Linked DNA regions of Callithrix jacchus. The protein of the gene in region 3 purifies or fractionates together with the protein of the main gene of each other region. This does not show direct contact. Links are inferred from orthologs where the notes say so. Each region holds a gene or a part of one and is shown on either strand. Other genes may lie near its edges.

What was found.
Region 1: the proteins of MAP2K2 (region 3) and KSR1 purify together in Homo sapiens (affinity purification with mass spectrometry; 4 studies listed by BioGRID and IntAct, with this or other methods). This does not show direct contact. The link is inferred for Callithrix jacchus from reciprocal best matches to the Homo sapiens genes MAP2K2 and KSR1.
Region 2: the proteins of MAP2K2 (region 3) and KSR2 purify together in Homo sapiens (affinity purification with mass spectrometry; 3 studies listed by BioGRID and IntAct, with this or other methods). This does not show direct contact. The link is inferred for Callithrix jacchus from reciprocal best matches to the Homo sapiens genes MAP2K2 and KSR2.

What each region holds. Positions count from the first base shown.
Region 1 is NC_133506.1:105,807,709-105,811,264, reverse strand, and holds part of KSR1 (kinase suppressor of Ras 1), read left to right. Parts: intron 1-1,240; coding exon 1,241-1,321; intron 1,322-3,335; coding exon 3,336-3,414; 3' UTR 3,415-3,556.
Region 2 is NC_133510.1:120,814,157-120,817,803, forward strand, and holds part of KSR2 (kinase suppressor of Ras 2), read right to left. Parts: intron 1,054-3,647; coding exon 540-1,053; exon of another isoform or gene 1-539. UniProt on the Homo sapiens protein: Location-regulated scaffold connecting MEK to RAF. Has very low protein kinase activity and can phosphorylate MAP2K1 at several Ser and Thr residues with very low efficiency (in vitro).
Region 3 is NC_133523.1:3,866,042-3,869,788, reverse strand, and holds the start of MAP2K2 (dual specificity mitogen-activated protein kinase kinase 2), read left to right. Parts: upstream 1-912; 5' UTR 913-1,094; coding exon 1,095-1,186; intron 1,187-3,747. UniProt on the Homo sapiens protein: Catalyzes the concomitant phosphorylation of a threonine and a tyrosine residue in a Thr-Glu-Tyr sequence located in MAP kinases. Activates the ERK1 and ERK2 MAP kinases.

The DNA.
Region 1 (3,556 bases), on a different chromosome or scaffold from region 3:
GGTTTCACCATGTTGGCCAGGGTGATCTCAAACTCCTGACCTCAAATGATCTGCCTGCCGTGGCCTCCCAGAGTGCTGGGATTACAGGTTTGAGTCAAAGTGGGCCTCCAGCTACACTTGAGGAGAGACCCAGCATGAGTTTTCTCTCCTGCAGAAGTCACTCACTAAAGAAGTGCTTGGTGCTTCACTGATTCAGGCCAGGTAGACGGATGGTCTGGAGGAATGACAGTGTGGGGTCAGGGAATACCATATTTCATGCAATACTGGGTTTAGTATTTTGTAGTTAGGATGGGTTGGAGTCCAGCACAAATGTGGGGTAGTGGATCGTAACCATAGAGGTGTGCGTCTTAGGCAGCCATTACTGTGCATCTGCCACACACCTGGGGAAACACAGGTAGCCAAAGCCACAGCTCCACCAGCAAGGGGTTTCCAGTGTCATAAAGACAGACATGCACTGAAATGAAACCTGCACACATCAGGACTCTTTCTTATCACCTTTATGTTCCTGGCTCCTGGTACAATCCCAGGAACATTAGAGTTGGTCACTAAATATTTGACGTGCATGAATGAATGGGCAAAGGGTGATAACATGCCAGGTGCTTTGATAAAGCCCAGACGGGGGCCTCTGCGTCCATCTGGGGGACATGAGGAAGAGTCTCTGGAAGAAGGGTCATCAGGGCTGGATTTTGAGCCCAGCAGAGACCAGGAGCATGGGACTCTTAGCAGTTCAGGGAGGGTGATGTGAGGTGGTGAGGCCAAGTTCCGATCACACCTCAGGCAACTCGCTTAACAAGCTGGGCCCTGGTTTTCTCCCTCACAAAAGAAAAGACTCCATTAGGTGGACACTGGCATTCAGGGCATCATTCCAGATTCCCTAGAAACCATACATTCCCACCTTCTCATTTCACAGGCAGGAAACTGAGTCACAGATGGGCTGTTCCCTGCCCAGCCCCTTCAAGGAAAGCATGCGAGTTTTCCTTTCCTGAGTGAGTCTGTGTCAGGCTTCCTGTTGAGTGTTCACTTTCTACATGCTTGGCCCCTAATTCTCACTTTCTCTTTTCTTTCCCATTGACCCTGTCACCTTTTTATTGTGGGGGGGTGGCGGATGTGCTGTTCTGTCATCTCCCCCTTTCCCATCATCTGATTCCTCCACCTGTCCACACGGGCCCGACTCCATCACCTGCCGGGGCCGGACTGCGCTCTTCTCACGCCTGGCGGAACGGTCGCTGGGCACTCCCAGCCGCTGGAGGAGCCGCTACTATGGAAAAGGACGCTACGGCCACCCTGACTTTAAGAGCTCCTGTCCGGTTCTGGAGGAATAGTGTGTTCCTTCCCTCTCTGGCTGCCTGTCTCTGGTTGTCCTGACACAAACCCCGCTTCCTTTCTGTTGCTGCTTCCCAGCTTCTCCCATCTTTGTATCGTTTATTCTCGAAAACCAAAGTGAGGTTTCTGCAGCTGAAATGGCCACCAGCAAGGGTTACACAGGCTTGCATTTTTCGCTGGGTGAAAGAAGAGCCACAGCATGTGGCTGGGGCCTCTGTCCATACCACGAGTAGATGGATGGCTTGTCCCTGGGTCAGAGAGAACTTGGGTCATTGATCTGAGTCCCCAGGGGCCCAGTCACCCTGGCCAGAGCTCAAGAGAAGAGAATCCAGTGAAGCAGAATTACTCCTGGAGGTAGATTTGCTCATCAAGGGCTAAGGAGCCATGGGCCTGGGCCAGCCTCTTTATTAACGTGCTGCGACTGTGCCCTGCAGGAGCTTAGAGAGGGTTCTTTGTGCCCACGCTCCCTTCTGAGGTTGCAGTGCAGCCAAGCGTGGAGGATGGAGTCCGGGATGACCCTTCTCTCTGGAAGGGAAAGGGAGTCCGCCCAGCTGCTCTGGCCCGGCCTGTAGCTCCCAGCAGGCTCCGCATGAGGCTGTGGTCCTGACGCTGTTCTTTGCTTTCTTCTCTTTCCCCCCCGTAGGTTGTAGGCCTGGCTGCCTTGCATGCACCAGGAGCTTTCTTCCTCCTAATCAACAACTCGGCATCGTGACTTCTACTAAAATGCACAATGAGATGCGGGCACTAACCCAGGGGATGCCACCTCTGCTGCTCCAGTCGTCTCTCTCGAGCCCTTCTTTTGCTTTGTTTTTAAAACTGGCCCTCTGCCCCCTCCACGTGGCCTGCGTATGCCTGAGTAACTGTTCTCAGAGGATCCCACTAACTGAGCTCCCTCCCAGGCGGTCTGGCAGCTTCTAACTACCTTCCTGGACGTGACTTTGACTGCTCCCTTGTTCTTCTGAGGGCTGGTCTTGTTTTTGTTTGGGTGGCCCTGTCTTACTGCTAACACCTTAGTGAGATGCTTCCACACCCTACCAGCCTGTGAGCACTGAGTGTGTGCCTAGTGTGGGGTGGGCGGAGGTGGGGAGGGTGTTGGCTTAGCTTTTAACCCATGGGGATTTTGTCCAACAAGGAGTGGAATGATTTCAGAGCTGCCCTGACGCCGGCACCCTGGTCACAGGAACCCTCTGCTGGGCTCTTGCCTCTCAGTCCCGTCTGTAGAGTTGCATCAGAAGACACAGAAAGTTCTGTGGCCATGAAAAACACCAGCTCGGAAGGGTTGTGTCTTCAGTGGCACCCTCAGAAAAGCTGTCTTAAAACAAAGAGGTATCTGGCTCTAAAAATGTTTCATATGAAAACAAAGTCTCTCCCCTGTCCCCACCCTGCCACCCTGGCAAAATTATTCCCTTTACACCTGCCCAGTATGCCATAGACCAGTCCCCAGGTCGGCATTTGTTAAGAGCATGGCTGATGTCCCCCGCGGCAGTCACTGAGCTGTTTACTAAACGCAAGTTCCTATCCTCCCTCCCCAGCAAAATGTGCTGAACCAGATCTCTGGAATTGGGCTCTAGGAATCTGCGTTTCAGCCTGCTTCCCAGGTGGCCCTGATGCACCCCAGTATTCGGTAGATTTCTGAAAGGAACATGTCACATCACTCCTGGTATTTTGGGGTCGTGTTTCTCTTCTCTCTCAGTTCTACTTGGAGCAAGAGCTTTCCTGGGCCGCAAATGAGAAAATGATTCCGAGGAGCCCACAGCAGCACTGAGCATGCTGGGAACTTGGGACTCGGAGATGAAAGAGCCACTGTTGCTCCAGGTAGAACTACCTGGAGTGTGGCTGGGGCCTTGGATGCCATGTGACCAGGGCAGCTCTGCCAGCGCTATTGGCCAACAATCATTTTCATTTCTTGTTGGAGGCCAGATCCTCTGCTCCGCTCATTTCCTAGCTAGTGTTACCCTAATTCTGATGAAGACCCATGGGGCTATAATTCTTGTTTTTGTTCCTCTTCACAGCATTAACAGCAGCAAAGTTGTACCCCGGTTTGAAAGGTTTGGCTTGGGCGTCCTGGAGTCCAGTAATTCAAAGATGTAGCCAGCCATGTGGTTTTTCTGCTGCTGATCTCTTTCTTTTTAAAATGCATTTCTGAAACATCCAAACCACCACCACAACAAAAAATAGACTGCCTTGCCCAGCGCTGCCAACAAGGAGCACGTGTCCTAGATTCAGACTGTTC
Region 2 (3,647 bases), on a different chromosome or scaffold from region 3:
ATATACTGGGTTAAATGACGTATTATGACAATATCACTTGTTCCTTTTCATTCTTTTTAATGTGACTACTAGAAAGTTGAAGGTTAATATATGCCTCGTATCCTATTTCTAGGAGCAGCCCTAGGCTAGACTCTGCAGGGGTTGGCAAACGTTTTCAGTAAAAAGCCAGATGGTAAATATTTTCAGCTCTGTGGGCCATTCTCATTCTGCCATTGTTACACAAAAGAAGCCATAGGCAACACATAAAGAAATGATCATGGGTGTGTTCCAATACATTTCATTTACAAAATCAGGCCGGGTATCAGATTTAGCCCCTAGGCCATAGAGTATTAATCATATTTTTTAAATGGCCAGTTCTGGGAAATTCTGTTCTATTCATTTTCTCAGAACCCTCTGTAAAAAGCCATCCTTCATTCAACCAGAGACTGGAACACAAGTCTGTACCCGGCTTCCCCGACCTGGGCAGCTCCTGGGGCCACGGCGCAGCCCCTCACAGGCCAGGGCTGGACTGCCCCAGGGCACCCACCGAGTGTACTCACTTGGGTGTATGGGCCTCGTCCACGCGGTGCGCCAGCTGGAACTCGTGGGATTTGCTCCGATGCAGCGCGGTGAACCCCGGGATCAAGTGTATCAGCTTTCGGGAGGAGGGTGGCGGGGTCCCTGGAGGCTTCAGCTTGTTCTTCTTCCTCATAGGTGGTGTGCCCGGTGGGGTCACGGTGGTGACGATGTTGGGGGTCCGTGGCGGGGTGCGGACTGCGTGCCGCTGCCGGGGCGATGGGGGCAGGGAACGGTGTCCCGACTCCAGTGGCGGGGGTGGGCACAAGCCTGGGTAGGCGTCCACAGTAAGCCTCTCCACATGGGTGTACACAGGGGCCCCGGGAGTGGGGCTGGTGTGACAATAGTGCTGGACGCACTTGGATGGGACCCTAGGGCTCTGGGAGAGATGGGTGCGGATCCACGGGGTGGACTCTGGGGGACACACGGGATTGTTCTCCTTCCCGGTCTCTGTGGTGGGCCACTGGATGGTCCAGTCTTGTTTGGAAAGGTTGCCTCCTGAGTTGGAACAGAAGAGCAGAGACAATGGGTAAGCCATGAGAAAGCCAGGTGAGTTACACCATATACACCATCACATCATATGCACATTACACCACCTGCCCATAGCATCATATGCATGTTACACTATATGCCTGTTAAATCGTATATATGTTATCTCATATGCAAATTATGTCATATGCACATTACGCCATGTGCCCATCACATCATAGGCCTGCTAATTATATACCTGTTACATCGAATGCATGTTACATCATATGCACATTATATGCATATTACATCATGTGCACATTATATCATATGCATATTACATCATATGCATGTCATATTATATGCACATTACATCATATGCATGTCATATTATATGCACATTACATCATATGCATGCTATTTCATATGCCCATTACATCATATAGACATCCTATCATATGCATGTTAGGATATGTCACGCCCACATTACATCATAAGCAGATTTGCATAAATCCAACCACCCCCACTTGGCCCCTCCAAAAATTGACCCTGTTACCCTATTCCCCATTCAACAGCCTTGCCTTCCTCTGCCCCATCGCTGGGAAGACCCCACAGCCCAAATGCTCAGAAAAGCAAAGAAGTTAATTCTTGCCTTTTGAGCTTCCCAAGATCCAAGTTCCGGAAGTCTCGAAGTGATTTAAAGGACTTTAAAGGATAACTGTTCCCTTACATGGAAATTTTCATACTTAACCCTCATGTGAGATACACAAATTCCAAGGCAGTCAAGTTCATCCTTAGTCCCTCCCTGACCACTTATTGGTCGCCGCATACTTCTTCCAGATCTATGTCGCCATGTTCTCATTCATGAATTTGTCCAGTAAACATTCTGTGAGTGCCAACTATGCCCTTTTGCTTGAGAAAGACACAAAAGCAACACAGACGAGACCCTGGTCTCCTGGACTTACATTCTGCAAAAGCAGAATCATGATAGACAAGAAAGCATGCTCACTAAAGGATTTCACATGGTTATTGGTGCTGGGAAGTAAACAGAATGATCTGATAAAAATATGGGTGACTGGGCACAGAGGCTCACGCCTGTAGTTTCACCAATTTGGGAGGCCGAGATGGGCAGATCACTTGAGGTGAGGAGTTCGAGACCAGCCTGGTTAACATGGTGAAACCCTGTCTCTACTAAAAATACAAAAAAGTAGCCAGGCATGGTGGCATGCACCTGTAATCCCAGCTACTGGGGAGGCTGAGATAGGAGAATTGCTTGAACCCAGAAGGCAGAGATTGCAGTGAGCCAAGACTGCGGCCCTGCACTCCAGCCTGGGCTACAGGCTCTCTCTCTACACACAAACCATGTGCTACACAGCTCAACCAGAAGGCACCAAGTGCCGATACATACAAAAACCTGGACAAATCTCCGGATAATTAGGCTGAGCAAAAAATGCCAACCCCAAAAGGTTACATACTGTATGACTCCATTTATACATATTTTTGAAATGACAATATTTTTGAAACAAAGGATAGACTGACGGTTGCCAGGGGTCAGGGATGGCAGAAAAGGGAGTAGGAGGGAAGGGGATGTGGTGAGAGAAGAGCAATACGAGGGAACCCTGGAGTGCTGGAACTCTCCAGCATCTTGACGGCGGTAAATACATGAACCTACACAGGTAATCAGATCACAGAGAAGTAGACCCATTGTGGTGGCTCGTGACTGTAATCCCAGCACTTTGGGATCAAATAATACCAAAAGTACAAGACAGTAAGATCACTTGAGCCCAGGAGTTCAAGAGCAGCCTGGGTGACACAGTAAGACCTTCTCTGTACAGGAAGTAAAAAAATCAGCCAGGCATGGTGATGCACTCTGTAGTCTCAGCTACTTGGGAGGCTAAGGTGGGAGGATCACTTAAGCCGCAGTTGGTCGTGCCACTGCACTCCAGCCTGGATGACGGAGTGAGACCTTGCCTCAAAAAGAAAAATACATAGAACTAAATGCACCCACAGACACACACACACACACACACACACACACACGTGTGTGAAAATAAAGCTGGGTAAATCCAAACAAGATTGGTGGATTGTAACATCAATATCCTGTGATCCTGTATTTGGTGATCCTGTACTATGTTTTCAAAATGTTACCATTGGGAAGAACCGGGCAAAGTGTAGAAGGGATGTCTATATTATTTCTTACACCTGCATGTGAATCTACAATTATTTCAATCAAAAATTTCCATTTTAGAAATTAAAAATAAAATACAAGCATACGGGGTGGGGGGGCTACTTTAGTAGAGTGATCAGGGAAAGCCTCCTAAGGAAGTGACATTCATGCTGGCCTGTGAAGGACAGGAAGGGCATCGTCCCACCAAGGACAGAAAACATCAGGCCGGGAAATGATACAGGCTAAGGCCTAGAAGTAGGAAGGGCTTTTTTTTTTAAAGTCTTCTAATAGCTTATTAGAAAGAACAGACATTTTTAAATCCCCACTGTTATGAATTCAAATTGAGGTTTTCAGTCCTGGTATAAACTGAATCAAAAAAAAAAAAAAACAGAGAGAAAGAAATTTAAAAATCCAGTGGTAGGCCAGCCATGGTGGCTCTCACACCTGTAATCCCAGC
Region 3 (3,747 bases):
GTTTATTTTTGAGACAGAGTCTTGCCCCGTCGTCAGGCGCCAGGGGAGTGCAGTGGCGCGATCTCGGCTCACTGCAACCTCCGCCTCCCGGGATCAAGGAATTCTCCTGCCTCAGCCCCCACCAGTCCCCCTCCCCCCCAGTAGCTGGGACTAGAGGCGCGCACCACCACGCCCGGCTAACTTTTTTTTTTTATTTTTAGTAGAGACGGGGTTTCACCATGTTGGCCAGGATGGTCTCGATCTCTTGACCTCGTGATCCACCCTCCTCGGCCTCCCAAAGTGCTGGGATTACAGGCGTGAGCCACCGCGCCCGGCCTATGTGTATTTTATAGTAAAAATGTTTTAACATGTGCATAATATATATCATTTTATTTGTCAATTAATTTTTTAAAACCACGTTAGAGCGGCCTTGCTCTGATGAAGGGGGGTGAGTAATTGACACTCAGGCGGTGGGCGCTGGGGCGAGTGTCCAGGCTCGCCACAAAGATTAAATGGACCCTGGATGGGTCTTACCCACCGTTCTGAGGTCCCACGGATTCTCTCAGTTCCAGCCTGGGAACATCGTAGGCGCTCAGGGGTCTGGCTACTCCCCTGCCCACCTGTGCACGCCCATCTCCCCCCTTCCTCTACCCTCCATCCCCTCCCCCGCGCCCCCATCTCGTGCCTCACGCGCACGCGCACCCGCGCCGTGGGAAGGCCAGCGAGTGCGCATGCTCCGCGCCGTGGGAAGGCCAGCCAGTGCGCATGCTCCGGAACCCGCCTCGCGTCGGTGTCCGCCCCTTTCCCTCCGAAAGGCGGCCTCGGGGTGCTGCGCAGGTGCAGCAGCCGGGGGGCGGGTCCTTCGCGGCTCCCGAGCCCGCTATCGCGAGAGGCCGGTGCGCGATCTTGTGGCCGCCCCTCCCCTCCCCCGGCCTCTCGGACTCCGGCTTCGGCGTCTGCCTGGATCGGGCCTCGGCGGCGGCGACTCCATCGTCTCAGCCCCGACGCCCCTCGGCTCTCCTCGGCTCCGTCCCGCAGCATCGGCCGCCCGATCCCGGCCCGTCCCCTATGGGCCCCGGATAGAGGCACCGCCGCCGCCGGCCCGCGGAGCCCCGATGCTGGCCCGGAGGAAGCCGGTGCTGCCGGCGCTCACCATCAACCCTGCCATCGCCGAGGGCCCGTCCCCCACCAGCGAGGGCGCCTCTGAGTGAGTGGGCAGCGATCTGCCGGGGGATCGGGGTGCACGGGGCAGGGGACCCTCGGGGGAGCACGGGGCGAGGGGTGCAGGGGGTTGGGGGTTCTTGGGATCGGCCGGGGGATCGGGGTGCACGAGGCAGGGAGCCCTGGGGGAAGGACAGGGCGAGGGGTGCAGGGGGTTCGCAAGGGGTGCACGGGGCAGGGGGAGGACGGGGCGAGGGGTGCAGGGGACAGGGGGTTCTCTAGGGGAGGGCAGGGCTAGGAATGCAGGGACCCCTCGAAAGAGGATGGGACGAGAGGTGCAAGGGGCTCTTGGAGGTGGACGGGGCGAGGGGTGCACGGCGCAGGGTGTCCTCGGGGAGGACTGGGCGAAGGGTGCACGGGGCAGAGGGTTTCTGGGCCAGTGATGGGACTTTGAGCAGTGAGATTGGGCGAGGGAAGGTCCTTGTGATGGAAAAGGTGGAGTGTGGGGCTCCTGGTGAGTGAAATTGGGATGAGGGAAGTCTCTGAGTAGAGAAGTTGGGGTGAAGGATGGGATCAAGGGTCCCTGAGCAGTGCGATTGGGTGAGGGAGGTCCCTGCAGTGCAGAAGATGGGGCGTGGAGCTTTTGAAAAGTGAGATTGGGGTGAGGGGAGTCCCTCAGGAGGAAAATCGGTGTGAGGGGTGTCCCTAAGAGGACAGAACAGGATAAGGGTCCCTGAGCAGTGACATCGGGATAAGCGGTGTCTCTAAGAGAGAAGAGTGTGGGGTCCCTGAGTAGTGAAATGGGGGTGAAGGGTTCCTAAGAGGAAAGAGCAGAGGAGTGCCTTAGTCATGAGATGAGGGTGAGGGGAGCCCCTGAGTAGGGAAATCGGGGTGCAAGGTGTTCCTGAGAGGGGAGGATGGGGTGAGGGTCCTTGAGGAGTGACAGCGGGGTGAGGGGAGGTCAGGCAGCCCTTGAGGAGGGAATTTGGGCAAGCGAGCTCCAGAGGAGAGCGGGTGGTGAGGGGTCCCCGAGTGATGAGACTGAGATGAGGTAGGGGTCCCAGGTAGGAGAAGATGGGGTGAGGGCCCCTCAATAATGAGGTTGGGCCAGGAGAGGTCCCTCTGGGAAAAGACCGGGCGTGGAGTCTTTGAGTAGCAGAACAGTGATGGGTCTTTGAGTAGTGAAATGGGGATGAAGGGGGAATGGGTGAGTGCTCCCTGAATAGTGAAATCTGGGAGGTGGGGGGGGTCCCTGAGTAATGAGATCCAAGTGAGGGGAGATCCCTTGGGGAAAAGATGGGGTTTGGAGTCCCTAAGTAATGAGATCAGGCCAAGGAGATGTCCTTGCAGAGAGAAGATGGGGTGCAGGGGCCCTGAGTTGTGAGATGGGGTTGAAGGGGTCCCTGGGAGGAGAGGATGGGGCAGGTACCTGCAGGGGAAAGGATGGGGTGTCCTGTGTAGTGAAGTGATAGTGAAATGAGTCCCTGTGGGGGAGAGGTGGGGTGAAGGGGTCCCTATGGGGGGAAAGACAGGGTGGGAGGGTCCCTGAGCCACGAGTCGAGAGTGTTGCACCTGGGGAGGACAGGCTTAGAGGTCTTGGGTGGGGAGTGGTCCTTCTGGGGTATGAGTCCCTGAGTGATGAGGTCGGGGTGGGGTGAGAAGGGCACCTACGGAGCCAGGGTGGTGGCAGGGGGGTGTCCCTCAGGGGAGAGGATGGGCTGAGGAGGTCCATAGAGAACCAGGAAAAAGGAAAGAGAGGGGGGATGGGGGGCTCCCAGGGATTCAGGATCAAGATATGAGGGGGGTCCTAGGGGGTCAGGATGGGGACGGGGTCTCCCAGGGGTTCAGGATCAAGATATGAGGGTGGTCCTAGGGGGTCAGGATGGGGTGGGGGGCCCTAGAGGGGTCAGGATGGAGGGGCTCTATGGGGGTCAGGGAGGGAGTTCTGGGGCATCTCAGGACAAGGGGGGTCCTAGGGGAGTCAGGACGTGGGGGCTCTAGTGGGGTGAGGATAGGAGTTCTAGGGGGTTCAGGATGGGGGGTTTTCTTTGGGGGAGTCTAGTGGGGTCAGGATAGGGGTTCTTGGGGGATCATGTGGGGGTCCTGGGGGATCCTGTTGAGGGGATTCTTGGGGGGTCAGGACAGGGGGTCCCAGGGGAGTCAGGATGGGCATCTCTGAGAGGATGTCTGCTTGTGGCGGTGCCCGGTGTGTGGAGTCCCCAAAGCTGGAAGCATGGTGAGGGGACAGGGAAGGGGGAGTGTGAGGATTGAGGAGGCGCAGGGGTGACGGGACCCTGCTGACCCCTGAAAGCAGAGGTGGAGATTCTAAAGCAAGTGGACTGGAAAACCTCGTGAGGGGCTGACCCAGTGCGGAAGCTTTGAGGAGGTGGAGGGCGAAGGCCTGGGTGAAGGAGTCTGAGAAAGAGGCACGATGCGGGGAGGGGTGCGGTGGCAGAATAGCACTGCTCCAGGATGAGGGAGGGGACTGGGTATTGTAGGTATACATTTGTGGGGTCACGCCAGGGTGACCTCTGCACTCCCGTTCTGCACGGTGGAGTGGAACAATCCCTGGGGCCCTTGGCCGGGGTCTGGGTGCCATGCCTGTGG